Rattus norvegicus: one gene and its partners. The protein of the gene in region 2 interacts with the protein of the main gene of each other region in a biochemical or structural test. Links are inferred from orthologs where the notes say so. Each region holds a gene or a part of one and is shown on either strand. Other genes may lie near its edges.

Region 1 (3,500 bases), on a different chromosome or scaffold from region 2:
GGATTCCTTCTGCTCTAACTGCACTCACACAGCTTACTGTGTGTGTTAGCACCGTTCACAGCATCTGACATCGCTCCTTGCATATTTGTGAAAGCTTTTATCATCTTATGCTTTCATATGTTTCTGCTCCCAATCTGAGTATAGAACGTTTTGGATTTTGTGGGCTTTAAACCTTAACTGGTTCTCTTCTAACTTCCAAGGTACTAAAGTAAGTGATGAGGATTTCCTTCTACTGGAGCTCCTACACTGGTTTAAAGAGGAGTTTTTCCACTGGGTGAATAACGTTGTGTGCAGCAGATGTGGCAGAGAGACTAGATCTAGAGATGAGGCCTTGCCGCCCAATGATGATGAGCTGAAGTGGGGCGCCAAGAATGTGGAGGATCATTACTGTGATGCCTGCCAGTTGAGCAACCGCTTCCCAAGGTGGGTGCCTGCAAAGTGAGGTGGGCGTCTCTCAGTGGGACAGGTAACAGGGATTTATTATCAAATTAGACTTTTACTCTCCATTTTAACTGGACTTGATATTTCTTTAGGACAGAGGTCTACAGACGAGAGTGGCAGTCTAGAGCAGCCACATCCACATTCTCTGGTTTTCTTAGGACACAACCCACTGACTTACTAGTCCTGTGACAGTTTTCTGACTGCAAGAGTTGCTGAATACTGATGACTGTAAGACTAAAGATCAAAATATTTACTGCCTGGTTTTCTCTGTCTTTTCTGTCTCTCTCTCATGTGTATGTATCTATGTCTTGTGTAGCCAGGCTGTCCTGGAACTTCTGATTTTTCTGCCTCCACTTGTTGAGTGCTAAGATTGTATGCGTGTATCACAGTGTATCCAGTGCTGGGGACTGAACTTCTAGCTTTGTGCATGTTAAGCAGGCACTTGACCAACTGAGCTGATCTCCAGTCCTTACTGCCTCCTTTTATGCAGTTTGTTGACTCCTATTCTAAGGCATACATTTCTACATATATTCATAGCATTTTAAAGTATGAAAGTGCTGTGGTCTACAGTGACAGTATTAGTGATAGTGACACCATTATAAAAGTAAAATAGTGCTATCTTTAATCGTAAGATTCAGGGGTAAAAGTAACTATAAGGGCAGAAGTTGTTTTAACCAGGACTGCCTCTGTCCCAGCCTCTCATATCCATCTCAGTCTCTGCATTTTTCTTGTTTTGTTGATTGGTTTTGTTTTTTGAGACTGAGTCCTGCTGTGTAGCTCAGTTATCCTCCTACATACCAAGATTACACATGTGTACCACTAAACCTGAATATTTTAAACTTGGGAAATTAAAAATTTTCAGTTTACTGTTTTCAACCTTTAGTTTATAAGCATAGTTAGGAAGTTTAGTTTTATTACACAACAGAAAAGATGGCACGCGTTTGAAAAGCCTGTTCTATTGGAGTTTAGCACTCAGCTTGTCCTAATGTGGAACCAGCCCTACATTATACATGAAAGAACATTATAATACCTGATGCTTGTATAAGCACAAAACACTCACCAGCCCTTCTCAGTGCAGAGTGAAAATCTCAGTGCTCTCTATTCTTATGGTACATTAGTAACTGAAATGACTTTTGAGAGAATACTTCAGATGTCTTGCTCGTAAACTTTAGCAAGCATTTTTAAGTGTGTCCAGAAAATTAATCAAAATCATTATTAAGAAGAAAACTGGAATTTATACTAAGTTACAATATCATAAGCAGAGTGAGAAGTCCAGCTATGTTTACAGCCAGGAAGAATGAAGTCTTGTTCAACCACTTCTACCTTAGGCCCTGAAGACAGGTGTCTAGCGAGCCCCAGAAATCCTGTCTCCCTCACCCACAGCTTTGGGATTACAAGTATGCATGGTCACACCCAGCTTTTTACATGAGTACTGGGTCCAAAGTCGGGTCCTTATTTTTCAACAGAAAGTGTTCCTAAGCACTGAGCGAGCCGTCTCTCCAGCCCTACTCCCCCCAGCCCTACTTTTGGTTTTCATGTTTGGAGGCAGTGTCTCATGTAGCACAGGCTGGCCTTGAATGACTGAATTCCCAGTCTCCTCCCTCCAAAGCCCTGGATTATACTTGCACAATACCATGACATCTTTTCTGGTGATAGGAACTAAGAGTTCACGTATGATAGGCAAGTACCCTAAAACTGAGCTGAATCCCTGCTCCTGCCCCTGCCCCTGCCCCCAGCCCCCTGCCCCCTGCCCCTGCCCCCTGCCCCTGCCCCTGCCCCTACCCCTGCCCCAAGCTAAAAATCCATTGAGAAATTTCTAAAGATAATTACACAGTAAGCGTATTTACTTGCAAGAGAACCATTGAAGATCTTAATCACAGTTTTTAGAAAACCTGCCCATCTAAATATTTTTAGAAACCAGTCAAGATGAAAATTATTCCCTCCAGCCATTCTCCTATGTCTTAGCTGTTACATGGCTGTTTTACTGATTCTGCTTGTGTTGGTATGGATAGGCTAATCAGTGCACTTAGCTCTTTGAAGTGGTAGCATCCATTTTTAATTAAGACAAAACTGACTGCATATACTGAACTACACTCACTGAAGACAGTTCCACCTTTTAAGCATGATTCACAAAGACTAGCACAGTGCCTTGTATAGACCATGTACTTTTATCAATATTTTAAAATAGGAAACTAAAAATTATGAAAATCATGGTTGGTGTTTTAGAGTACAAGTGATGTAAATTCCTTAAAAATTGGATTTTAATCATGAATCACATCTGTTGTCTTTGTTGTTTTTTTTTAAACCAGATATAACAACCCAGAGAAACTTTTGGAAACAAGATGTGGACGCTGTGGTGAATGGGCCAATTGTTTTACGCTATGCTGCCGTGCATTAGGGTTTGAAGCTCGATATGTGTGGGATTACACAGGTACAGCCTGGGTAGGAGAGAGAAAGAGACTAGAGAAGAAGTGGGCTTTGTAAACTTCTTTTTCTCACATCCCCTGAGTTTTCTGTTAGCCTTCTGTAAGGTAACAGCAGTACCAGCCTCAACAGGCATTTTCGAGACTCTGTAACACTTATAACACAGCTGCCCCATTCCCAGTACCTGGATTCTATCCTATTGGTGACATTAGCAGTGGCCCTGTTCTGTGTGTATGGAAATGTGTGTAGTAACATGCTGTCCTGTCATGTTTAAAGGATTGCTGTAGGTGACGTAGTAAGCCTATACTACATTCTACAGGCATGGAGGATAACCTTGGTGTTGGACTTGGTCTTCATTTAGAAACAACTTATGTCAGGTCCGTGTTGAAGGTCACTTTCCCTGTTCCAGGGTTTTCTTTGTTTTTACTGTTGTCTTTATTTTTATTTTTTTTATTTTTTTTATTCGATCTATTTCTTTACTTACATTTCAAATGTTATTCCCTTTCCCGGTTTCCTGTCCATAAACCACCCCATCCCCTCCCCTCCCCCGTATGGGTATTCCCCCTATCCATCCTCCTTACTGCCACCCCCCAACATTCCCCTGCACTCGGGGTCCAACCTTGGCAGGACCAAGG
Region 2 (3,500 bases):
AAGAACTCCAAATCCACATCCTAAAGGAAGCACAAGAGTATGTTAGCTGTTAGCACTGTGCCTTCCTCCCACAGAGCACAGGGTCTCTGGACTTTCTATTTTAAACAGACTGGCTTCTGCCTCTGCCACTCCACATCTGCTTAACAGAAAAAGTCCCTATGGCTGACAACTTTGCACTTGCCTTGGCAACTGGGGATTTTCGCAGATTGGCTTTTAGGATGGCAACACGGGACTTCTCATCAGGAAGTGGGATATAAATGAGCTGATCAAGACGGCCAGGTCTTAGGATAGCAGGATCAATGATGTCAGGCCGGTTGGTAGCTCCAATGATAAACACATTCTTTTTTGTGGACATGCCATCCATTTCTGTCAGGATCTGATTGATGACTCGGTCTGCAGCTCCACCACCATCTCCAATATTACCACCACGAGCCTTGGCAATTGAATCTAACTCATCAAAGAAGAGTACACAGGGGGCAGCTTGTCGTGCCTATGAAAAAGAAAAGACCATCTCAAATACTAATATAACTAGATTTCTCATACTTCAGGAAGAAAACAGAGTAATCAGTAATGCCCCAACTGAGCTGCCAGTAATAAAATTTTTTGCGTCTGGAGAAATAACCTCTCATTCCACCTTGCCCCTTGCCATACATACATATGAACATCAGCTAGCCATCTAGCTTACCTTGTCAAATATTTCCCTGACATTGGCCTCAGATTCCCCAAACCACATGGTAAGCAGCTCAGGACCCTTGATGGAGATGAAGTTAGCCTGGCATTCATTAGCAATGGCTTTGGCCAGTAAGGTTTTCCCACAGCCAGGCGGTCCATAGAAAAGAACACCTTTGGAAGGAGTCATGCCAAATTTGAGGAATTTGTCTGGATGCTCCACAGGATACTAGAAGAAAAGCAAAGATAATTTAAGGGCAACCCCATATTTTAAATCAAATCATATCAGAAGCATAGCATCTTTATGATACAAACGTCTAACATCCAAGTTTTTTGTATATAGGCTTCCATGCTACCTAGTCTTATATCAACCTGACACCTAACTTGAGTTATCTGAAAAAAGGGAACCTTGAGAAAATTCTTACATAAAATCTGGCTATAAGGCATTTTCTTCATTAGTTTTTGATGTGGGAAGGCCCCACCCATCGTGGGTGGTCCCACCCCTGGGCTGATGGTTCTGGGTTCTATAAGACAGCTGGCTTTGGAAGCAAGGCCTTAAATAGCACCCCTCCATGGCCTCTGCATCAGCTCCTGCTCTGTTTGATGAACAGCAGTGTGGAACTCTTTCCTCCCTAACTTGCTTTTTGTCATAGTACTTCACTGTAGCAGCAGTAACTTAGGGCAGTTCATTATTATCTAAAACTCTGTAACAGAGTTATACGCTCAATTCTTAGTAAATCAGTCTGAGACCTAAAAGTTGATTATTATATACTGAGGGAATGACCCACCATACTAGAGCAAAACTTAGCCTACCTGAACCAACTCCTGAAGCTCCCGTTTGACATCCTCCAGGCCTCCAATGTCTTCCCAGGTTACTTGTGGCACTTCTACCACAGTTTCCCGAAGTGCTGATGGGTTGCTTTGACTTAAGGCCCACTAAAAAGGGAGTTTGAAAAAGTGGAGATGAGACTTGGGGGCGGGGTCCTCACAACAAAATACATAAACATATTCCTAATTTGGGTGTAATATGGTCCTTACCCGGAAGTCATCCATAGTAACTGCCAGGGAATTCATGACCTCAGCGTCAATGGTCTCATCTTCTAGGTCAATGAGGTCCATTTTTTTCCGGATGGCCTGTAGAGCAGCCTCTGAACACAGGGCTGCCAAGTCAGCACCCACATGACCATGAGTCTCATTGGCTACCTGCAAAGAGAAGATATACTGACCATCCTCAAGATCCAGCTACCTTATCAAGTCAGAAACAGAATCCTGACTCCATCCCATGTTTCATATCTCTGATTCTTCCTGTTTCCTTGAAGAGATATATTATAGCAGACCTTTTACAGGCAGAGGTGTTAAATATTCACACCGGATTGGGGAGCTGAAAATAAAACTGCTCCAACAACTCATACATACAGCAACAACTAAGAAGCACATTCCTGCTCTGAAGTTAAAAACAAAGTCCATCCAGCTTTTTTTTTAGAAAAAAAGAAAAGATACAACGACCTTGCTGTGTAGCCCTAACAAGCCTCAAACTCAGGCTCCTCCTGTCCGTCCTCCCCCCCCCCCCCCGTTCTAGATTACTGATATGAAGCCTCTTTTCTTAGTCTATGCATGTAGTCCCCTGCAACCTCCTACAACAGAGTTATCCTAAATTCTGGCCAGCCATCATCACCACTCCACCTGTTCCAAGTCCACATCATCTGCCAGTTTCATGTTCTTGGTATGGATCTGAAGAATTTCCAAACGTCCTGTAGCATCAGGGATTCCAATATCTACCTCTCTGTCAAAGCGACCTATGGGACAATAAAGGAATGTAAAATAGGAAGTTTCTGGTCCACAGAAGTCACTCCAGAACTCTCTTATTTAAAGTTAGCATTAATGCCTCACAACCTGGAAATCTTTCAGACTTAGGCAAAAAATAGATAGTTACTCTAGAGCAGTGGCTCTCAACCTGGATCTCGACCCCTCTGGGACAGAACAACCACTTAACGGGGGTGGGAGTGGGTGTCACATATCAAATACCCTCTATGACAAATATTTTACATTACAATTCATAACAGTAGCAAAATTACAGCCATGAAGTAGTAACAACTTTATGATTGAAGGTCACTACAACATGAGGAACTATATTAAAGGGTCGCAGCACTAGAAAGGTTGAGGGAGTGCCCTAGAGAGAACACAGAATGGAAAAAAAAAAAAAAAACCTTAGGTCCTGTCATGACAAAGAACTTAAATTCTGAGGATTAAGTAACTTAAAGACATAGGTGAGATAAGGAAATCAAGCCCAACAGACATACCAACAATATACCCTACAATATATCAACAAGTAAGGACAGGCTGGTTTGCACGATGGTGGTGCACAACTTTAATCCCAAGCACTCAGAAGGCAGAGGCAGGTCAATCTCTTGAGTTTGAGGTCAGCCTGGTATTCATAGTTTCAGGACAGCCAGGGCTACACAGAGAAACTCTTGTCTTATATATTAAAAAAAAAAAAAAAAAAAAAAAGGGTGGTGTAGGAAAAAAATTTAAGGTCTTTACCAAATCGCCGTAGGGCTGGGTCAATGCTGTTGGGTCTATTGGTTGCTGCCATAACTATCACATGTGCTCTCTGCTTTAGGCCATCCATAAGGGTCAACAACTGAGACACGATGCGACGCTCCACTTCCCCGTGAGTCTGTAAGACAGTAGTATGTCTGGTCAGAAGCTAGGTCAGGACCTCACAAGTCCTTACCATCCCATTGGGTAGGTTCCTACTTTCTCTCTTTTGGGTGCAATGGCATCAAGCTCGTCGATGAAGATGATGGCAGGAGCATTCTTTTCAGCTTCCT
Region 3 (3,500 bases), on a different chromosome or scaffold from region 2:
GAATTCCAGGACAGACAGAACCACACACAAAAAGATCCTGACTCAAAAAGCCAAACCAAGCAAACCAACCACACAACTGCTCCTCAGATGAGCACAGCATGGCGGTCTTAAAGCTACTCACTTTCCGGAGCCTCGGAGGCAGGAACACCTCAATCGTAGCAATCCCAGTTGTGCGGTAGTGCTCATTCCCAGTGCCGCGCTCAATCGCTTTGCATCGGATTTCCTCTATTATGTTTTCCACTTCATTTTCACAGCACTCTAGCCGCTCGGAGTACCTCTTAGCAAGGTCCTATGAGCAGAAACCAGAAACGGAGCTCAGTGGAGGGCCAGTGCAAAAAAACCAAAAAACAAAATATATATGTGTGTGTGTATGTGTGTGTATAATAAACACTATATATATTTATTATATATAGATAGTATATATGTATATTTCCCAAAGCAACATAATTCTTACCAGCAGATACCCCCACTGTACTGAAACTCAATCTGGGCTCTCAAGGATATTCAGGGAGAAATGAAAACACTTATAAATAGTAAAAATAGCTTGCTGGTCAGAGTGAGAGTAACTGGGACTATTCCAGAGAGATGGAGGGAGGCTGAGACTCCTGTGACCTTCATAGACTAAGAAATTAGTTTAGGAAGCAGTCAACTAGGGCTGTGAAGACGATGACTAATGGCCAACCAAGGCTGATGCCTTGAGGTCAATCTCTGGGCCCTACAAGGTGGCAGGAGAGAACCAAGTCCTATAATTGAATTCTAACCTCCATAAGTGTCTCATACTCGCATGCACACACACGGCTACTTTTTTTTCAAAGTTGTAGAGGCTGGAGAGATGGCTCAGTGGCTGAGAGGATCTTTCATTCTTAGAGGACCTGGGTTTGGTTCCCAGCACCCACATGGTAGTTTACCACCACCCACAACTCTCATTCTGGGGGTTCAAATGTTCTTCCTCTGACTTCCAAGGGCACCAATCATGCTTATGTTGCATATACACAGGCACATAAACACATGCACTCATACATAAATAACTGTAAAAAAAAACTTCTTAAAATAGTGAACTGTTCATCATCATTGGATGGGAAGTTTTTTGGGGGGGGGGGTTGTTTTGGTTTTTTTTGAGATACAGTCTCACTACATAGCTCTGGCTGTCCTAGAATTCACTCAGTAGACCAGGCTGGCCTTGAACTCAAGAGATCTACCTGCCTCTGCCTTCCAAGTACTAGGATTAAAGGTATGAGCCATCACTACCTGGCTGTTGTTTGTTTTTAATTTTTTTTAGGATTATTTTATTATTTTGTGTATGAGTGTTTTGTTTTTTTGGTTTTTTGGTTTTTTTTGCACGCACGTCTGTGCACACGTGTGCCCAATGCCCAAGGAGGTGGTGTGGGTACTGAGAATTGAACCTGGGTCCTTGTAAGAACAAGTGCTCTTAACTATTGGGTCAACTCTCCAGCTTCTTTGTTTTTTCTTTCAGTGATGGCATCCTCATCATAATACATTTTAAATAGGCATCAGGAGAAGGCTGGAAGAATACCATATCACTGATGTTTACTATGTTTTTAAAAATATACTCTCTGAGATAGAGATAGAATCTCATCTAGGCTGGTCTTAAATTCGCCATATAGCCAATGATGACCCTGAATTTCTGATCCTCCTGCATTAACTTCCTGGGTACTACAATTCCAGGCATGCCCACCATGGTTTATAAAATTGTCTTCTTTATGCTGTGACCAATGACAGACCAAACATAAGCTCAAGTGCCACTTTAAAAAGGGCTTATTTTCAATTTATTTGTATCAGTAGAAGTGCATGTGTACATGTGTGTGCAGGTTCCTATGGAAACCTTCTAGAAGGCAACAGATCCCCTGGACCTGGAGTTACAAGCAGTTGTGAGCCACCAATATGGGTACTGGGAGCTGAACTGTGGTCCTCAGCAAGCTTTTAACTGCTGAGTCATCTCTTTCAGAGCAGAAGAGGCCATTTTAATGTCCATGTTGCATGTGTGGGAGATGCTGGTGTGAATAAGTCTACTGTGATGCCAGTCCTGTAAGCACAGGACACGGCATCAGCACAGCACATAAATACTGTTTCATGAGAGTGAATGGCTGCAAAGCCATCTTGGTTTCATTAGCTGTGCTCCTCTGACTTTTCTGTAATAGTTTACTATGAAGTATAGCATGTAATTATTAAAAAAAAATGTATGCTATTGACGGCTACTCTCCCTCCAGCTGTGGAGGTCTCCCTGCCCCCACAGCTATCCCCAAGCGGTGGTCTACCCAGTTCCCTAGCCAAACCACTGAAGTGTTCAGATTCCCAAGCATCTGTCCCCTATGGCTAGTCTGTCAAGACTTTCTGGAAACCCTGAATCCCGTATAAAGAAACCTCCAGAGGCTTGTAATTTGTTAATTCTCAACTCACAAACACCCACACAAAAAAATTCAAAACTCAATCGATATTGATAAAAGCTGCACACCTAGACTGGACAAATTGCCCTACATTATTCTATTGTTCTTCTATGATATCCATAGCCACCTATGGCTATTTCAAGCCCTGTGGATCCAGTACGTCTTCCTTTTCTAGTATAGGTCTTGTCTCCTCTCTCTGTCTCTCTGTACTGTCTCTAAAACTCTCAGTCCACTTCTTTTCCCACTACCCAATCACAGGCTCTAGTCTTATCTTTCACCGGCCCTCACCTGCTTACAGACAACAACTTACACTGAAGTAGTGTGGAGGCAGCAGCAACCTCAGCCTAACAGGTGTGAACCAAACTCTTGCCTCAGGCGCATCACCCCAACTCTTGGACGGCCCCAGTGGTGAAGGAGACTAAGTATACAATTGACTGTCCTTGAACTGGTGACCCTCTTGCCTCAGCCTCCAGAGTGTTAGAATTTCTGGTGCGTATGACTAGGCTCGGTTCTATTTTTAATCCAGGAAGACATATTATTTTTATCACTATAAAACATGAAATTTTTGAAAATAAAACACCTTAACAATCAATTTCAGGGCCAGTAGGATGGCTCAACAGATAAGGTCCCTGTCAAAACATGGCTGACAACTTTTCTATTTCCAGAGCCCACATAGAAGGAGAGAACCAACTCCTGCAAGTTGCCCTGATTCCCCATGTGCACCCCATCCCCCACCCACCCCAAGTAAATAAATGTACAAAAACATTACTTTCTAAAACTTCTAATGTCTCTAGAGCATGGTGGAGCACACCTGCGATCTAAGCACTGAGGAGGCAGAGAAGGAAGATCCTATGGATCCCATGGATCAAGGTCCTATGGAGTTTGAGGCCAATCCAGGCCTCATGAGACCTGTTTCAAAAAGCTAAAACAGAACACACACCAAACCAACCTAATAACCAACTAAACTCTAGTTACCTAGAGAAGGTTATTTTTTTCTCCTGATAGCAAGTAATTCTAACATTAACTTGGGACAGTTCACTGGTGTCTTGGGGCAGTCCTACAGAACACCCCATGTTGGTATTCTAAGCTCACCCC
Region 4 (4,230 bases), on a different chromosome or scaffold from region 2:
CCTTACTAAGCTACCATAGAGAGAAAGACCTGAGACCACAGGGCTGGAGAGATGGCTCAGTGGGTAAGAGGCTACTCTTACAGAGGACCCTAGGTTCAGCTGCCAAGCACCCACAATGCAGCTCACAACCATCTGTAACTCTGGTTACAGAGCCCAGGGATCTGACGCCCTCCCACAGGCACACATGCAAGCGGAGCATCAGCGCACACAGAGAATAAAACTGCACAGAAGGAAAGGTGAGGAGGCACACACTTCCTTAAGTTCCTGGAATGATAAAAACTGCAAAAGGGCCAGATCCTTCCTAAGCAATCACACAAGACCCTCATAGTTAACAACATTGTCAGTGCTCACGGTGCACCGCACATCCTTTACTGTCACGATCTCAAAAGCAGGCACTGCCGTGACGCCACTGCATAGCAGCGATGGTTCCAGAAGAGCTCAGGGAAGATGAGCTGGAGTCACTCCTGAAGGTCCCATGCCTGAAATGCTGGCCTGCAGTTGCTGAAGCCTCAACGAAGAGGCCTGCAGGCTCCTTAGCCACTCTACCCCTAGAGACTAAATGGTAGGACTCTTGTTCAAGGCTGAAAATCTCTTTCTACCTAGTTCCCCTTTGCTGAATGAATGGCTACTAGGCGTGGTGGGACATACCCACAATCCCACCACTTAGGAGGCTAAGTTAGAATTTTGAGTATGAGGCAAGACTGGTCTACACAGCCAAGACCCTGGTCCTGCCTGCTCCCCAAACCTGTGTGGCTCAGTGTACCGACCGTTATGTTGGCTCCTGTCAGCTGGTTGATTCGATGCATGTGTTTACAGAACTCTGGGCCGTGTCCTTCTCGGTCTTTGTCATTATTAGTGACAAATAAGTAAGCATGGATCATTTCGTGCAAGAGAGTCTGAAACACAAAACCAAGTATTGATTTTCTAGGGCAAGTGTGAAGCTAAAATGAATTCTTTTTTAACCTGCAGTCTTAGCCTTCTGCAGAGCCAAGTACAAACCTTTACATATATTCCAAGCTCTACAGAACCCAGTACCCCTCTTCACAGAATGAACGCTGCTTAGGAAGGCCCATTTAACTATGTACCCAAACCCAAAAGGTTGGTGAACCCAACCACACAAAAACTTTAACATCCAATAGAGTCAAAACTCTGCCATGCAGACTCCAGATGCCAACAATGGAAATGCGGACACCAAAAGAGCAAGCAGCCCAGCTCTGAACGGCCACTGGGCATGATCCTGACCCATGATCCCAGACTCAAGGTGGAAGCAGAAGGCTCAGGAGTTTGAGATCAGCTTGGCTACAGCAAGCTCTGCCTCCCTCACCATCAAACCCCCCACAACCCTGCGCCCTCTAAAAATAGCTGGGTACTTGCATGCCAGCTCACTGGAGAGGCTGAGGCAAGAGAAGCATTAAGACCAGGGCCAATCTAAGGAATAGAGACTGTCTCTTAAAATCAACAAAATACCCTGGACGGGAATGGTGATGCACTGTTGTAAGCCCTCAGGCAGAGACCAGAGGATCTTGTGGTTGAAGATAGTATGAGCTACTATCAAGAACACATCATTGAAAAATAAAAATCTAAATGTTGAGGAACCAGTTTATGCGAAGACTACCTCTACAAGGTCCTTTCTTGGTCTGAGTTTTAACAAGGGTTCACTGAGACGGATGGAGCACATGCCTCCTCTCCCTTCATAGGTGCAGATGCCAGCACACCTGGAAAACAGTCACGGACAATGGATTAGGTTCACCCAATGCACAAAGGAGACAGAACAAAAAACAAACCCTCGCCTGGCATGGTGGCGCAGGCCTTTCATCCTAGTCCGTGGGAGGCAGATGCAGGAGGATCTCCCAGTTCCGGGCCAGCCTGGTCTACAGAGTGAATTCCAGGGCAGCCACAGATACATAGTGAGACCCTGTCTCCAAAAAAAAAAAAAAAAAAAAAAGAGCCAGCAAATCCTTATCCTTGGGCAGTTCAACGAAAGTCCCTGATAGAGGGCTTTTTAATAACACTTGATCACCCTCACACCCTCACCCACTGTTATCCTCTCTGCTCCGCACCGGGACTTGTCACGGGGCCGATGTGAAGTTAGAAGTACGCTACGTCTCAGCCTGCTTCAGCTCAGGCTGCTATGTGACGGTGTATATGCAGGGCAGATTATTATCTAGAACAGGATTTCTCAAACTCAGTGGGTAGATGAGGGATCCTGCTGGTACATCTCTGAGAGCCGTTGGGCCACGAGGAGGGGACACACCAACGACAACTCAGCGCCCTTGCCCTTCCCTACGTTCCGAGCCGTTCGTGGGCGCACTCACAGTGTCATGCGCACACTCCACTTCACCTCCACGGCCTCCAGCTGACCCCAGAAGAAGCGATCGTTAAACTGCAGGAAGAGCGCCTGCAGGTCCGGGGTGGGGTCCACCAGCTCCCAGGACGCGTCCACCAACGATAGGGGCTCCCGCGCCGCCGCGCGCCGCGCCGCCTGCACGTCCCACTCCTCCTGCAGCCGCAGCGCGACCACCAGATCCTCGTCCATCCCGATACTCTCACTTCAGCCGCTCCCAAGACGCCGGTCGGGCTCGTGAGGCGTACGGATCTCGCGAGACCTCCCGGCCCCGCTGTCAGGGCGCGCGGGCTCGCCTCGAACGCCTAACCGAAGGTGGCTCGGCTCTGCCCCGCGGACACAGACTTAGGAACGCTGGGCTCGGGGTAGGGACGGCTTCAGGAAGCCAGTTGTCTCCAGACCGCCGCCGAGGTCCAGCGCCTCACGTCAAGTCTGGTCCGTGCCCGACCCTCCTCTGACTTCCGTACTGGCCCGTCCGCGCACGCGCCTTAAGACGCTGCCGTTTCCGCGCAGGCGCGTCGTCGACACTCCGCCCCGGGCGCAGGCGCAGTGTGAGAGTCTCGACTTTGGCACAGGCGCAATGCAGCGCTCGGCCCCGGCGCAGGCGTTTGGGTGTTGCTCCCGCCCCGCTTCCTCTACCGCTTCTCCACCGGGCTCGGGTGGGGCCGGGAGGCGGCGAGTGACAGCCACTGCGGGCCGCGGGAGCAGGGCGGGTGGCAGCCATGTCGGACAGCGGGGCGAGCCGCCTGCGGAGGCAGCTGGAGTCGGGGGGCTTCGAGGCGCGGCTGTACGTGAAGCAACTGTCGCAGCAGTCGGACGGCGACCGCGACCTGCAGGAGCACCGACAGCGGGTGCAGGCGCTGGCGGAGGAGACGGCGCAGAACCTGAAGCGCAACGTCTACCAGAACTACCGGCAGTTCATCGAGACGGCGCGCGAGATCTCCTACCTGGAGAGCGAGATGTACCAGCTGAGCCACCTGCTGACGGAGCAGAAGAGCAGTCTGGAGAGCATCCCGCTGGCACTGCTGCCCGCCGCTGCCGCGGGCGCATCCACGGGTGAGGACACGGCGGGCGCGGGACCGCGGGAGCGCGGGGCGGCCCAGGCGGGCTTTCTTCCGGGGCCGGCCGGAGTCCCTCGCGAGGGCCCCGGGACGGGAGAGGAGGGCAAGCAGCGAACGCTCACCACGCTGCTGGAGAAGGTGGAGGGCTGCAGGGACCTGCTGGAGACACCAGGTCAGTACCTTGTGTACAACGGGGACCTGGTGGAATACGAGGCAGACCATATGGCCCAGCTGCAGCGAGTGCATGGCTTCCTCATGAACGACTGTCTGCTGGTGGCCACTTGGCTACCACAACGGCGAGGCATGTACCGCTACAACGCACTCTACCCACTGGACCGCCTGGCTGTGGTCAACGTCAAAGACAATCCACCTATGAAAGACATGTTCAAGCTGCTCATGTTCCCTGAGAGCCGAATCTTTCAAGCGGAAAATGCCAAGATTAAACGCGAGTGGCTGGAAGTGCTGGAGGAAACCAAGAGGGCGCTCAGCGACAAGAGGAGACGGGAGCAGGAGGAGGCAGCCGCCTTGCGTGCGCCACCACCGGTCACTTCCAAGGGCAGCAACCCGTTTGAGGATGAGGCCGAGGAGGAACTGGCCACCCCGGAGGCAGAGGAGGAAAAGGTTGACCTTTCCATGGAGTGGATCCAGGAGTTGCCGGAAGACCTGGATGTTTGTATTGCGCAGAGGGACTTTGAGGGTGCCGTGGACTTGCTGGACAAATTAAATCACTATCTTGAAGATAAGCCCAGCCCACCTTCTGTGAAAGAGCTGAGGGCCAAAGTGGATGAACGAGTGCGACAGCTCACCGAGGTGCTTGTGTTTGAG
Region 5 (3,500 bases), on a different chromosome or scaffold from region 2:
CTAGGCGCCTGACTCGACCCCATACACCTCCACAGAAGTCCACATTAGCACTCCTTTTCTCAGTAGGCCCTCATGGCCTCCATACTGCACTCTAATCCCAAGCAGGGCAGTTGATGACCTGAGTGAGCTGCATGTCAGGGGCCCATGTGTGCTGACAGTCACCATTATCATCCTGACTAGAGACAGAGGTTGCCATTGTCTGCACATGGTCTCTGGCCATCATACTTAGATATACTGGACACTTACTTTGTCCGGATTCACTGTTTCCAGGGATGTGTGCCCATCCCCATCCAGAGGGTGGGAAGTGACTGGGGGCAAGGGGCTAAGTGAGTCCTGCACAGTAGAGAGTCGGAATCTGTCCAGCAGTGAATAGAGCCTTTGGTGTCTGAAATACAAACAAAACCAGAGTAAAATAAACCAGAGTTTATTCTTTAGTCTGAAACTCAATTTGTACACAGGTGAGTTCTAGAAACATGTAATACCAACAAGCAGAAGCAGCTTCTTAACAAGGTGCACATGCTTGACCTTTCCCTTCAACATCCTAAAGTCACGACACACACTTAGACCCTACTTACTTTTAATTACCACAATTTATACCTCACTGATATTTTGCAGAAGTTTCATTTATGCCCAACATTCCATGAGGCAATACAATATATAACAGCTAATAAAGCTATTCTATTCTACTCTTTGTTTTCTTGGCAGTATTAGAGATGGAACCCAGGGACTTGTGCATGCTAGACAAGTGCTCTATCACTGAATTACACATTCCTAGCCATCATATTTGTAATATATACAAAACAGATAGATTCTTCTACGATCCAAGCGCACAAACTCCATTTAATGCTCCATAATGACACAATTCATTTCATTAGGAAGGGTCACTTCACAGAAAAATCATTTCATCTGGCCCAAAGATATTTATGATAATCATAATCATGATTATATCATTATATAATGATTAATAATTATATCAATATAATTTATGATGTCATAACCTTCCTCATCTAGGCCTCTGATTACATCTATTATCAAACATAATGACAATTTATTCTCTTACTATCCAAAACCAATGTGATACTATGTATGTCAAATGACAACATTGTGTGGCTTTGCAGACTGAAAAAAATTATCTAGACTATGCCCTGTCCCATTATGAAACACCCTCATAAAAACTCTAAGATTAAAGTTATGAGAGAACCACCCTCTTTTATGCACATATGCTCCCTATCCTATTAACAATGGCGGAAAAGAGGTAAAAGTTTTTCTTAGTTTATCTTGACTAAGGAACTACACTTATACTTCAGATTGAAATGTTTCTAATAAAGGTTTCTAAAAGACTTTCAAACAAATAGGCAAAAGAATTGCTATGAAGAGAGGTCACTTAACAATACACAAATACCATGTGTACATGCCAAGAGCCAAGTAGAGCTCTCATATTTATTCCTTCTAACCTAGCAATTAGGTTCTATGTTTATTCCCATTCCTAAAGGGTCCAGGAGCAGAGGCAACAAACACATTTCTTATCCCTTCAACAGTCAGAAAGTTCAGGAGCACCTCGTGTGTGCAACAGGTGTTTGATTGCTACTTCTTCATGTCTACTACAGTGAGACTTTCATGTGACAGTTAGACAGCCAGCTCTACTGTGGCACTGCTGCAGTAAACTCACTCTACACTAACTCCTTTGCCTGCCTCTTTGTTCCTGTACATATCTATGTGTTAATACCCAAATGCCTGTACCCCATGCTACAGTCTTACCTTTGTGCAAGCCCAGTGTTCTGGAGGTGTTCCTGGATTCTGTTCAGTTCCTCCTCTGGCAACTGGGCCATGCTGCTCTACACAGACAAGAATACATCAGGGCTTTTGTGATATGCACTTAAATAGGATAAAGTGCTACGCACAGTGTCCTAGTAAGAGACATTGGTCAGACACACAAATAACAAACATTGCACACATGCTCTTGTCAGTGGCTAATCAAGACCAGGTCAGCAGACCAAATGTTTTGACTGACTTTCTAAGTTTTGATATAAATCACCATTTCTCAGTACCTGTAAATTTGCAGCCAAAAGCATTTCTACTCGGCGACAGGCCAGGGTGTCGACCATGCGAGCCAGCGCACGGAAAGGGGTGCCCAGTAGCCTGTCCACATACAGTGTGAGCACAGCACCAGACTGGCTGAGATGGATGCCTTCCAAGCACTGAAGTGTTTTCTTCAGAGTGGTTGGCTAATGTTGAGAAGGAACAAAATTTATTATTCCTCAGACTTGTAACTGGTACTGACAAAATCCCAGTAAGTTGGACAAAGCAAACTGGCAGGCTAAAGACTTACAGTTGAAAGATTTTCACAGCGAGACTGAATTGCCTGGATAAAAAGACCACTAGCTGCAGAATTACGATGAATGGCACTAATAAAGTCTTGAACTGGAGGCTCGTGGGACAAGCTGATCAGATCTTGAATGTGATTCACAATGAGCCATGTTAAGTGTTCTGAGTCATGGAGATTCTGACACTAGAAAAGATATAATAAAAGATACATTTCAAGTAGACAAGAAGGCTCCAAAGAAAAACACACTCCAAATACAAATTTTGCCTTGGTGAAGACAAGTGTCTGAGTACAAGTAAATGAGAGAAAGGAAGGAAACTTATAGAGCCTCACACCTCGATCACATGTGGTAGAGGCCACAGGAAGCCAAGAACTGAGGGCAATGTCAGCTCCCAGAGACACTAGCAAATGCCTCAATATCAGAGAATTGGCTCCTTGGACACGCCAAGAGGTAGCTGCCCACAGGAGCAAGGTGAGCAGTCTGGTGTAGCCCTCCCTAGTGACTGGCCTGGAGTTTGCATGCATGGAAACAAAGGAAGCCCCATGTTGGAATAGAACTTGCCACCAGATTGCAGGCCAGCCTAGCATGGGCTGCTTTACTTACTCTGTCTGTAATGCTCAGTGGCTAAAACAGACAATAAATGCCACAGATTTGATAGAGTTCCTGAATCAAAAAACACAGCTGCCCAATACATGGGAAAATGTCACTTAAGGTTTTTTTGTTTGTTAATAAGAAAAATAAATAACAACCATAGTTAAAAATACAGGTAACCTGCTGGGAGGTGGTGATGCACATCTTAGTCCCAGCCCCTGGGAGGCAGAGGCAGGCAGACCTCTACAAGTTTCAGGGTATGAGGTTAGCCTGGTCTACAGAGTGAATTCCAAGACAGCCAAGGCTATAAAGAGAAACGCTATCTTGAAAAAAATAAAAATTGACCAAACAAACAAACAAAATATGCAACCTTTCCATTTGTAGGATTAGTTCATAATCCTAGACAGAAGCCAAAGCCTGATCGAATCTTTGACATCTGGTTAATGCTAATATTTTTCACTTGCAACTATTTGGATAGTATTAAATTATAAAATTATTCTTTCTTTGTAAAAAACACCACTATACCACATTTCTCAAAAATGGAACAAAATATAAAAATGACTTCAATATTGGGAGTGTCAAGTA
Region 6 (3,176 bases), about 100 Mb from region 2:
ATCAGTCTAAGGTCACCGGGGTTAGCAGCAAGTTATCCCGAGTCATCCCAATGGCCCACAGTGCTTAGTTTTACAGGTGAGCAGTTTGTAGTTGGCTCCAGGAAGAACATTTCTCCACACGCACTTGGCTCTTGTCTGGCCTTGTTCCTTGAATTCTATGTGTATAAATGCTTTGTGTGTGCACATCACATGTGTGATCAGTGCCTGCCCACAGGAGCCTGATTTCTAGTCCCCTGGAACTGGACTTCCAGGCAGTTGTAAGCTGTGGGTGTTGGGAACTAAATCTGATTCCCTCTCTGCTCCTGTAACTGCTGAGCAGTCTCTTTGGCCCCGTAATTTTTTTTTTTTAAAGACAGGATTTTGTTATGTGAACCTGGAACTCTGTGTAGACCAGGCGGACCTCAAACTCCTCTTTCTGGGAGTTCTGGGGTTAAGTGTGTGCGCCACCATGCCAGCCTTCCCCACCCATTTCTTTCCACAAAGAGACGAGTCACAGAAGGTTCCTTCTGAATGGGCATCACCGTTTATTGTCGTTTGTGTTGGGAACTGAACAGAGCACAGACTGTGAAGAGGAGGAGGAAGGAAAAGAGGAGAAAAAGTATGTTTCTGAAGATTTCATTTCTTTAAAACACTTTATGGTTTCAAATCCTTTTTCACCCCAAAGGAAATTTAAGAATTCAAGTATGTTGCGTAGGGAGCGGTAGTACTTCTGCTCGAGTGCGCCTACGTGGTTACGTGGTGGTGTTTGTCCGGGCATGTAAACAAGCAGACAGATTTCCACATTTCTTGCACCCTTTTTTTTTTTTTTTTTTTTTTTTTTTTTGCTTTGGTAAGGCCAAACCCCAAAAGGACACAGCATACAAAAGAACCCAGGGTTGAGGAACTTATTCATCCTCAGAGGATAACGGCTTAGGATTGGAATTGTCACATAGGATTAAAAAAAAAAAAAAAAAAAAAAAACCAACAGAAAACAAAACACAACCCTCACCTCCCCCAAACCCCACAAGTCACACGAGTCCTGATTCACTCCAGCCAGCCTGCTGTCGCACCTGCTTCTCAGGATCATAACTGAGGGGTGGTAGAAGGACCAGGCCCACAGGGTTCTCTTCATTTTGTTTATAATAAAAAAATTTAAAGGGCTATTTCAAAAGAAAAAAAAAACCTGAAATTCAAATTCTGAAAATATCTTGCCTTTTTTATTAATCATGTCATCTAACACCAATTAAAAAAACAAGTCTGTGAATATGATATAAAAATACGATCCCCAGGTTAACACTTCGTCGCAGGCACAGTTACCTCACAGAATACATGTTTGGAGGGCCGGGAAAGGAGTCTGGGTCTGTGTCTCTTTAAAAATCCCACAGCAGTGCCAGTGGGTGAGGGAGGGGAGATTCTTTAGCAGCAAAATGTCCGAGTTCTCTAGTCACATCGAAAAAAACAAAACAAAAACGTAAGCTCAGGGGAAGCTGCCCAGACCCACTCGTCACTAAACACTTCCGCTGCCGCAGCCCCAGGGGCGACAGGCGAAGGGCGCGCTTTACTACACAAGCCATGGAAAATTCGTCCCTCAAGCTTGACTGTTGTCACTTAAATATATGTACAGGAATCCTCTTCTGTCATGTCCCTCCATCTCCACTGCTTGGTCACTCGGGGTGGGTTCTCAGGATCTGCTCACATCTGGTTGGAAGCAGCTTCGAGGCGGATGCTGCTTTGGCCTGGCTGGCTGGCTGGCGGCTTCCAGCTGAGGATGCGATGGGATGGGACACTTAGTGGTCACTGCTCTGCTTCTCTCTCATCCAGGCCTGAATCTGCTCCTTTAGCTCTGGCACTGAGGGAGAGGAGACAGGGGGTTAACAGCCCAGGTGGGCAGGCCCTTCGGCTTGCAGTCCTATCTAAGTGGAAAGAAAAGGCCGCTCATTCCCCAAAGATGCTGAGGACTGTGGAAGAGACAGCCACAGACAGGAAGACATTTACAGCCAAAGTGAGCCCAGTGCTTTGTGTCTTTTCCATAAAAAGAACTTAAATTGTGTGCTTTCTATGGAAAAGTGCTGGGGACTGAACCTGGGGATGTACGCATCTAGCCAAGGGTTCTGTGGGTGTAGGCCTAGCCATCTTTTCTTTTGTTTGAGACAGGATCACAACTAAATTGTCTGGGTTTGCCTTGAACAGGCTACCCCCTTCTGGCTCATCCACTCAATAGCTGAGGTCACAGGCCTCCGGGCACCGGGCTTGCTCTTAGTCTCCTACCCTCGCTGGCCCTGACACTGGTCGGCGCAGCAAGGCGAGCTGGGCCTCCTACCTGGCTCCAGCATGCTCTCAGTCAGCATCTGGCGGTTGAAGGGGTCGGTGGGGGAGTTGAGCAGATGCCGCAGGATGATAGAACGGTCCATGATGGTCCCAGAGGGCAGTCTCACGGGATCAGTCATCAGGGTGTCCATCAGAGGGTCTGTGGACACAGAGCAAGAGCAAGCTAACCCACTGGTGGGGGGTAACCCCGAAGAGCAAAAGCAGACGGTTTCTACCAGGGAGACATCTCAGGGAGCACTGTGGAGCCAGCAGCCCCCGAGTCCCTTCCTGTAGGGGAAAGCAGCACGATGATGGCAGATGAAGGGGCATGCCGTGCCTTGCCTTCTGTAGCTGCTGCTGGGAGAAGAGAGCAAAAGCGGACAACGAGGCGGCCCTCAGGGCAGAACCCTTTGCCTTACAATCCCCACTCCTTCCTTGTAATGACAGAGCTGTCTTTAAAGTCTTTGTGGTTATCTGAAGACACCACACTAGGGATGGACACTGCAGCTGTCTTCACACACACCAAAAGAGGGCATCAGGTCCCATTACAGATGCTTGTGAGCCACCATGTGGTTGCTGGGAATTGAACTCATGACCTCTGGAAGAGCAATCAGTGAGTGCTCTTAACCACTGAGCCATCTCTCCAGCCCTGAATGTTCAATATTTTTTTTTTTTTTTGGTTCTTTTTTTCGGAGCTGGGGACCGAACCCAGGGCCTTGCGCTTCCTAGGTAAGCGCTCTACCACTGAGCTAAATCCCCAGCCCCGAATGTTCAATATTTTAATCTATAATATTAACTACAATTTGTACACACAATTTTAGACAATACTCCAGAATCAACTACAGCGTACTGTCAAACAATCAAGAACACTGATGGCAGTCGCCCTTGTG
Region 7 (4,249 bases), on a different chromosome or scaffold from region 2:
AAGTCAAATGCCTTCCTCAGTTGCGCTCCACCTTATTTTGTGAGATAGTCTTTCACTGAGCCTAGAACTCACTGATTTCAGCTAGACTGGCTGGTCAGCAACCAGAAACCCACCTGGCTCGGTTCCCTGCCTCAAGTACTGGGGATACAAACACACACTGGGATCTGAACTCTGGTTTTCATGCTTACACAGCAAGCACTATTCAGGTGAGGCATATCCTTGGCCTGAGTAAGTCTTTGTTAGCCTAGCATTTTGGATATACTGATTCAGTAGTTACCTTCACTGAAATCTGCTCAAATGAGGAACAATCAATATTGTCAAGAAGGTATTGAGGGGGGTTGGGGATTTAGCTCAGTGGTAGAGTGCTTGCCTAGCAAGTGCATGGCCCTGGTTCGGTCCCCAGCTCCAAAAAAAAAAAGAAAAAAGAAAAAGAAAAAGAAAAAAAAAAAAAAAGAAGGTATTGAGGGAGATGGAGAGGTGGCTCAGCAGTTAAGAGTACAGGCTGGCTTTCCAGATGACCTCGGTTCAACTCCTAACACCCACACAGCTACTCACAAGCCTGTTACTCCAGTTCCAGGGAATCTTCTGGCTTTAGTGGGCAACAGACACACAGTGCACAGACATACACAACAGTAAACACCAATACAATTTTTTTGTTTGTTTTCCATGACAGTTTCTCTGTATAGAGCTGGCTGTTCTAAAACTCTCTCTGTAGACTAGGCTGGCCTTGAACTCACTAGAGATTCCCCTGCCTCTACCTTCCAAGTGTGAGGTTAAAGGCCTACCACCCCTGCCAGCAAAAAAATACATATTTTTTAGTGTATTGTTTAAGAGCCCTATGCTGAGCTTCAATCCCAGGATGGTAGGTGGCAGAGGTACCTATTTAACATATCAAAGCGGACCTGAACTCCAGGTTCTCCCAGCATCCCTTAGTCCCTACTTATACCAGGGTATAGCTGGTATACCTACTCTCTACCCTGAACTCTCCAGACCATGGCCTAGCTGCCCTTCCCCTAGTGGTCCTTGCCTATGTAATTCATGTATTTTGGTAACCCAACCTCTTTGGTATACTTCTGCACCTTTGGCTCCTGGCTGCTGTATTTCCTTTCCCTCTCCCCATGTGGTTCAGGGTCATGACAACTCTGGGGTCTCCCAAATGTGTCTGCCCCAGGCTATGCTCTCCCACATCTCTTTAATAAACTTTCTCCTTCACCATACCTAGAAGTCATGTCCTTTCCATTTCTTCCTTCATTCACCCTAAAGATGACCCAGAGAGTAAAGGAGCTTGCTGCCAAAGCCTCAGACACCTGGAATCCACACCAAGTTGGAAAGAGAGGACAGACTTTATCAAGTCATCCTTGACCTCCACACAAGCACATGCATTTTTCTTTTAAGAATACATGGCAGGAGTCTCACAAAACAGTGTATAAAGTATAACATGTTTAAAATGGATTTTATCCCAAAGAGTATAACATGTTTAAAATGGACTTTATCCCAAAGCCTTTGGAAAATTACAAAAGAGTGGGGGAGGGGGTGGCGCACTCAGAGTCAGGGCACATGGTCATAATCCCAGCCAGCACTCAGGAGGCAGAGACAGTAGGATGGAGAGTTTGGGGCCAGCTTGGGCTACAAGAAATCTTGTCACAAACTAACTTGTTCCAGTTCCAAAAACACTATGAAAGGTCTTCTTAAGAACACTTTCATTTAACAACTTCCTTAGATTTACAGCATTTTTGTCTTTCTTTTGTCGTGCATGGACTTTAAACGTTGTGAATGAATGCTCCTTTACAAATGATAAAAACAAAGGCCTTTGCTCCAACTGTAATAATAGTCTCAACTAGCAACCCTCTCCAAACCTAAAATGATTATGAAACACGGAATCATGCCAAAGTTGTCCGAGGAACACCCAAATGACTTGATAATTGTATGCGAGCATAGACCAGTTTCTCGAGATGTCACAATACTGTAAAGCGTAGTCACTTAGGAATTAAGGTGAGGAAGAGACTAGCCAAATCACACAGTAGAAAGATTCTAATCTATCCATAATACCTAAAAACAAAGCTGGCCTCCTGGTCCGGAAAAATGGGAGAGCAGCCCAAACATCCCGTAATAAAAACTCTTATGACGACTTCCCTCCGGGATTTCCTACTTTACTTCCCAAGTGTCAGGCCCTTCAATGGGAGAGCCACGGTCACAACTGCAGAAGGACGTGGGATAGATCACCAAGATCTAAATGCATGGGACATTCCATCATAGAACTGAGTTGAGAGAGAAAGTTGGTTCTGCCAGAGGATAGGTCAGGGGGAGTGGGTGGAGTTGGGAAGGGTCCGTCAGGTGTGGAAAGGCGTCTCGCTAGACTAGACCACAGGAGAGAAGATAGAAGAAACCCGAAAAGGCGTGGCAAGTGAACAAGAAACGCCCGCGCTAATCCTCCGGATGAAGCCCCCCGAAATGCCCAGGTTACCCGCCCGGTCTTTTAGGGTGAGGGTGCCGGAGACGCATGCGGGAGGCTTCATGAACGGTGCCATGGGGGGAAGGCAGGAAGCACCCCTCACCCAGCCAAGTCGGGATGGGGGCGCTCGGGCCCCGCCTGAGTTCCTGAAGCGGCGACGCTGCTCCCCACGCCCGCCGCCGAGCCGCGGACGGCTCCCCACCGAACGCCCACACTCACTTTCTCGTGGAAGATGGACTCCATGTTTATTTGTCTGGAGCCAACGGCCCCGGCGCGGAGCAGCCCCCTCCAGCAGCTCCGCCCCCGGCCCCACCCCTCCGCCCCGGCCCGCCCCGCCCTACCCACGTGCCTCCCGCCACCCAATCACTACTGCGGGCGCACGTCACGCGGCACGCGAGCCGGGGAGCACGGGACACGTGACCTGGGCGGCGCTGGTCCTCCCGCCGCGTGTGTGATGCTGCGGCGCCGCCTGCTGTGCGGAGGAACTTCTCTACGCTAGACAATGTTGTGATTCTAGGGTTCTAGATGAGAATCCTCGCAGCCAGGTTTTAGGTTCTTTTTTTTTTCTCCATTTCCACCTTTTTTGGTACTTTCTGCTCAACTACGTGTAATACCTCCTCTCCCACTGAAAACCTCATTCCAAAAAAGGCATTCTCCCAATACCTAGTATTTGTGTGAAAACTATAGCTAGTATTTAGTTAGGGCTGACTTATAATAGTCCACTTCTAAGTGCGATTTAATGCGGCATTTTTGATGTGTGTGTATGTTGTAATATTATTATACAAATGAAGAAATGTAGGCACTAAGAAATTAGAATAGCACAGTGTCCAACACAGTTGCCTGTCGGAATGAGTATCAGGTCCCAGGATAAATGTACAATATCTGAAGGAGGAAGCGTCGATGGGGAAGTGAAAAGTCCAGTAAAATGTTGAGTGGCTCGCGCCGGGGGTGGGGGAGGGATTGACAAAGATTAAGTGTTATTTGGGCGCGGATCTTGTGTGGTGGAACCATTTTAGGTTCTTCAAAGTCAGCAAAGAAACTGGGTACAAAGACTCATTCTCCTAATCCTTGCACCTGAAGGTAGGAGGAGTATGTTGTGTTGGACTGTGGCAGCCTGTAACCAGGGTTTCTAGGACGATCCTGCCCGCCACCTCCCAACCAAAAACAAAACAAAACAAACAAAAAACCTACAGGAGGTTACAGATTTTCAAAACTAGAGACATGGGGTCAAATTAGAATTTTAGAAGATCACTGGGGAACAGAATACTTGAAAGGCATTTTGGGAGAAATGAGGAGACAATGGTGGTCAGAACTCCAGTAGTGATTTGAGAATGGAGAGAGACCAATTTGAAGTTTCAGGAAGCAGACTCAGAAGACTTTGGTGAGGAACTGGGGTGAAAGGGGTTATTGTTAGGAAAGATTTGTGGGTGTCTGCTGTAGGTACCACCTAAAGAAGGAGTAATACTCCAACCAGAAATACTGTGCAGAATGAGCAGGGTCTTGGGAAGGGAAGACAAGGGTTTAATTTGGGGAATAATGAGTTTAAATGTCTGTGCAACATAAGGTACTTTTGTGAGTAATAGATGTCTGGCCTGGAGTTTACAGAAGCTGTTTTGAGCTGTGAGGTGAGATTCATTGCAATTTAGAAGGTAACTGGCTATGAGGTTAAGAGCATTTGCCACTTCTCTTGTAGAGGACCTGGGTTTGATTCTCAGAACCCACATAGAGGCTCACAGAATTTGGTATCTCCAGATTCAGGGGATCTGATGCTTCTGCAACATACCTAGTAGGTACGGT

Evidence for each region.
Region 1: the proteins of Vcp (region 2) and Ngly1 form a complex in vitro, tested with the Homo sapiens proteins (2 studies listed by BioGRID). The link is inferred for Rattus norvegicus from reciprocal best matches to the Homo sapiens genes VCP and NGLY1.
Region 3: the proteins of Vcp (region 2) and Nub1 form a complex in vitro, tested with the Homo sapiens proteins (2 studies listed by BioGRID). The link is inferred for Rattus norvegicus from reciprocal best matches to the Homo sapiens genes VCP and NUB1.
Region 4: the proteins of Vcp (region 2) and Sprtn form a complex in vitro, tested with the Homo sapiens proteins (2 studies listed by BioGRID). The link is inferred for Rattus norvegicus from reciprocal best matches to the Homo sapiens genes VCP and SPRTN.
Region 5: the proteins of Vcp (region 2) and Htt form a complex in vitro, tested with the Homo sapiens proteins (3 studies listed by BioGRID). The link is inferred for Rattus norvegicus from reciprocal best matches to the Homo sapiens genes VCP and HTT.
Region 6: the proteins of Vcp (region 2) and Ube4b form a complex in vitro, tested with the Homo sapiens proteins (2 studies listed by BioGRID and IntAct). The link is inferred for Rattus norvegicus from reciprocal best matches to the Homo sapiens genes VCP and UBE4B.
Region 7: the proteins of Vcp (region 2) and Atxn3 form a complex in vitro, tested with the Homo sapiens proteins (5 studies listed by BioGRID and IntAct, with this or other methods). The link is inferred for Rattus norvegicus from reciprocal best matches to the Homo sapiens genes VCP and ATXN3.

The regions. Positions count from the first base shown.
Region 1 is NC_086033.1:11,604,329-11,607,828, reverse strand, and holds part of Ngly1 (peptide-N(4)-(N-acetyl-beta-glucosaminyl)asparagine amidase), read left to right. Parts: intron 1-200; coding exon 201-423; intron 424-2,750; coding exon 2,751-2,872; intron 2,873-3,500. UniProt on the Homo sapiens protein: Specifically deglycosylates the denatured form of N-linked glycoproteins in the cytoplasm and assists their proteasome-mediated degradation. Cleaves the beta-aspartyl-glucosamine (GlcNAc) of the glycan and the amide side chain of Asn, converting Asn to Asp.
Region 2 is NC_086023.1:62,008,388-62,011,887, forward strand, and holds part of Vcp (transitional endoplasmic reticulum ATPase), read right to left. Parts: coding exon 3,427-3,500; intron 3,347-3,426; coding exon 3,211-3,346; intron 2,466-3,210; coding exon 2,353-2,465; intron 1,873-2,352; coding exon 1,708-1,872; intron 1,606-1,707; coding exon 1,483-1,605; intron 899-1,482; coding exon 686-898; intron 491-685; coding exon 182-490; intron 21-181; coding exon 1-20. UniProt on the Homo sapiens protein: Necessary for the fragmentation of Golgi stacks during mitosis and for their reassembly after mitosis. Involved in the formation of the transitional endoplasmic reticulum (tER).
Region 3 is NC_086022.1:11,356,147-11,359,646, forward strand, and holds part of Nub1 (NEDD8 ultimate buster 1), read right to left. Parts: intron 290-3,500; coding exon 122-289; intron 1-121. UniProt on the Homo sapiens protein: Specific down-regulator of the NEDD8 conjugation system. Recruits NEDD8, UBD, and their conjugates to the proteasome for degradation. Isoform 1 promotes the degradation of NEDD8 more efficiently than isoform 2.
Region 4 is NC_086037.1:69,753,559-69,757,788, reverse strand, and holds the start of Sprtn (DNA-dependent metalloprotease SPRTN), read right to left. Parts: upstream 2,801-4,230; 5' UTR 2,537-2,800; coding exon 2,316-2,536; intron 2,306-2,315; exon of another isoform or gene 2,035-2,305; intron 1,716-2,034; coding exon 1,616-1,715; intron 897-1,615; coding exon 768-896; intron 1-767. Other genes in the region: Exoc8 (exocyst complex component 8), read left to right, coding at 3,067-4,230. UniProt on the Homo sapiens protein: DNA-dependent metalloendopeptidase that mediates the proteolytic cleavage of covalent DNA-protein cross-links (DPCs) during DNA synthesis, thereby playing a key role in maintaining genomic integrity.
Region 5 is NC_086032.1:80,101,169-80,104,668, forward strand, and holds part of Htt (huntingtin), read right to left. Parts: intron 2,510-3,500; coding exon 2,330-2,509; intron 2,226-2,329; coding exon 2,049-2,225; intron 1,836-2,048; coding exon 1,759-1,835; intron 386-1,758; coding exon 247-385; intron 1-246.
Region 6 is NC_086023.1:165,049,397-165,052,572, forward strand, and holds the end of Ube4b (ubiquitin conjugation factor E4 B), read right to left. Parts: intron 2,447-3,176; coding exon 2,300-2,446; intron 1,829-2,299; coding exon 1,767-1,828; 3' UTR 501-1,766; downstream 1-500. UniProt on the Homo sapiens protein: Ubiquitin-protein ligase that probably functions as an E3 ligase in conjunction with specific E1 and E2 ligases. May also function as an E4 ligase mediating the assembly of polyubiquitin chains on substrates ubiquitinated by another E3 ubiquitin ligase.
Region 7 is NC_086024.1:126,869,982-126,874,230, forward strand, and holds the start of Atxn3 (ataxin-3), read right to left. Parts: upstream 2,801-4,249; 5' UTR 2,696-2,800; coding exon 2,672-2,695; exon of another isoform or gene 2,556-2,671; intron 2,522-2,555; exon of another isoform or gene 2,050-2,521; intron 2,023-2,049; exon of another isoform or gene 1,219-2,022; intron 1-1,218. UniProt on the Homo sapiens protein: Deubiquitinating enzyme involved in protein homeostasis maintenance, transcription, cytoskeleton regulation, myogenesis and degradation of misfolded chaperone substrates.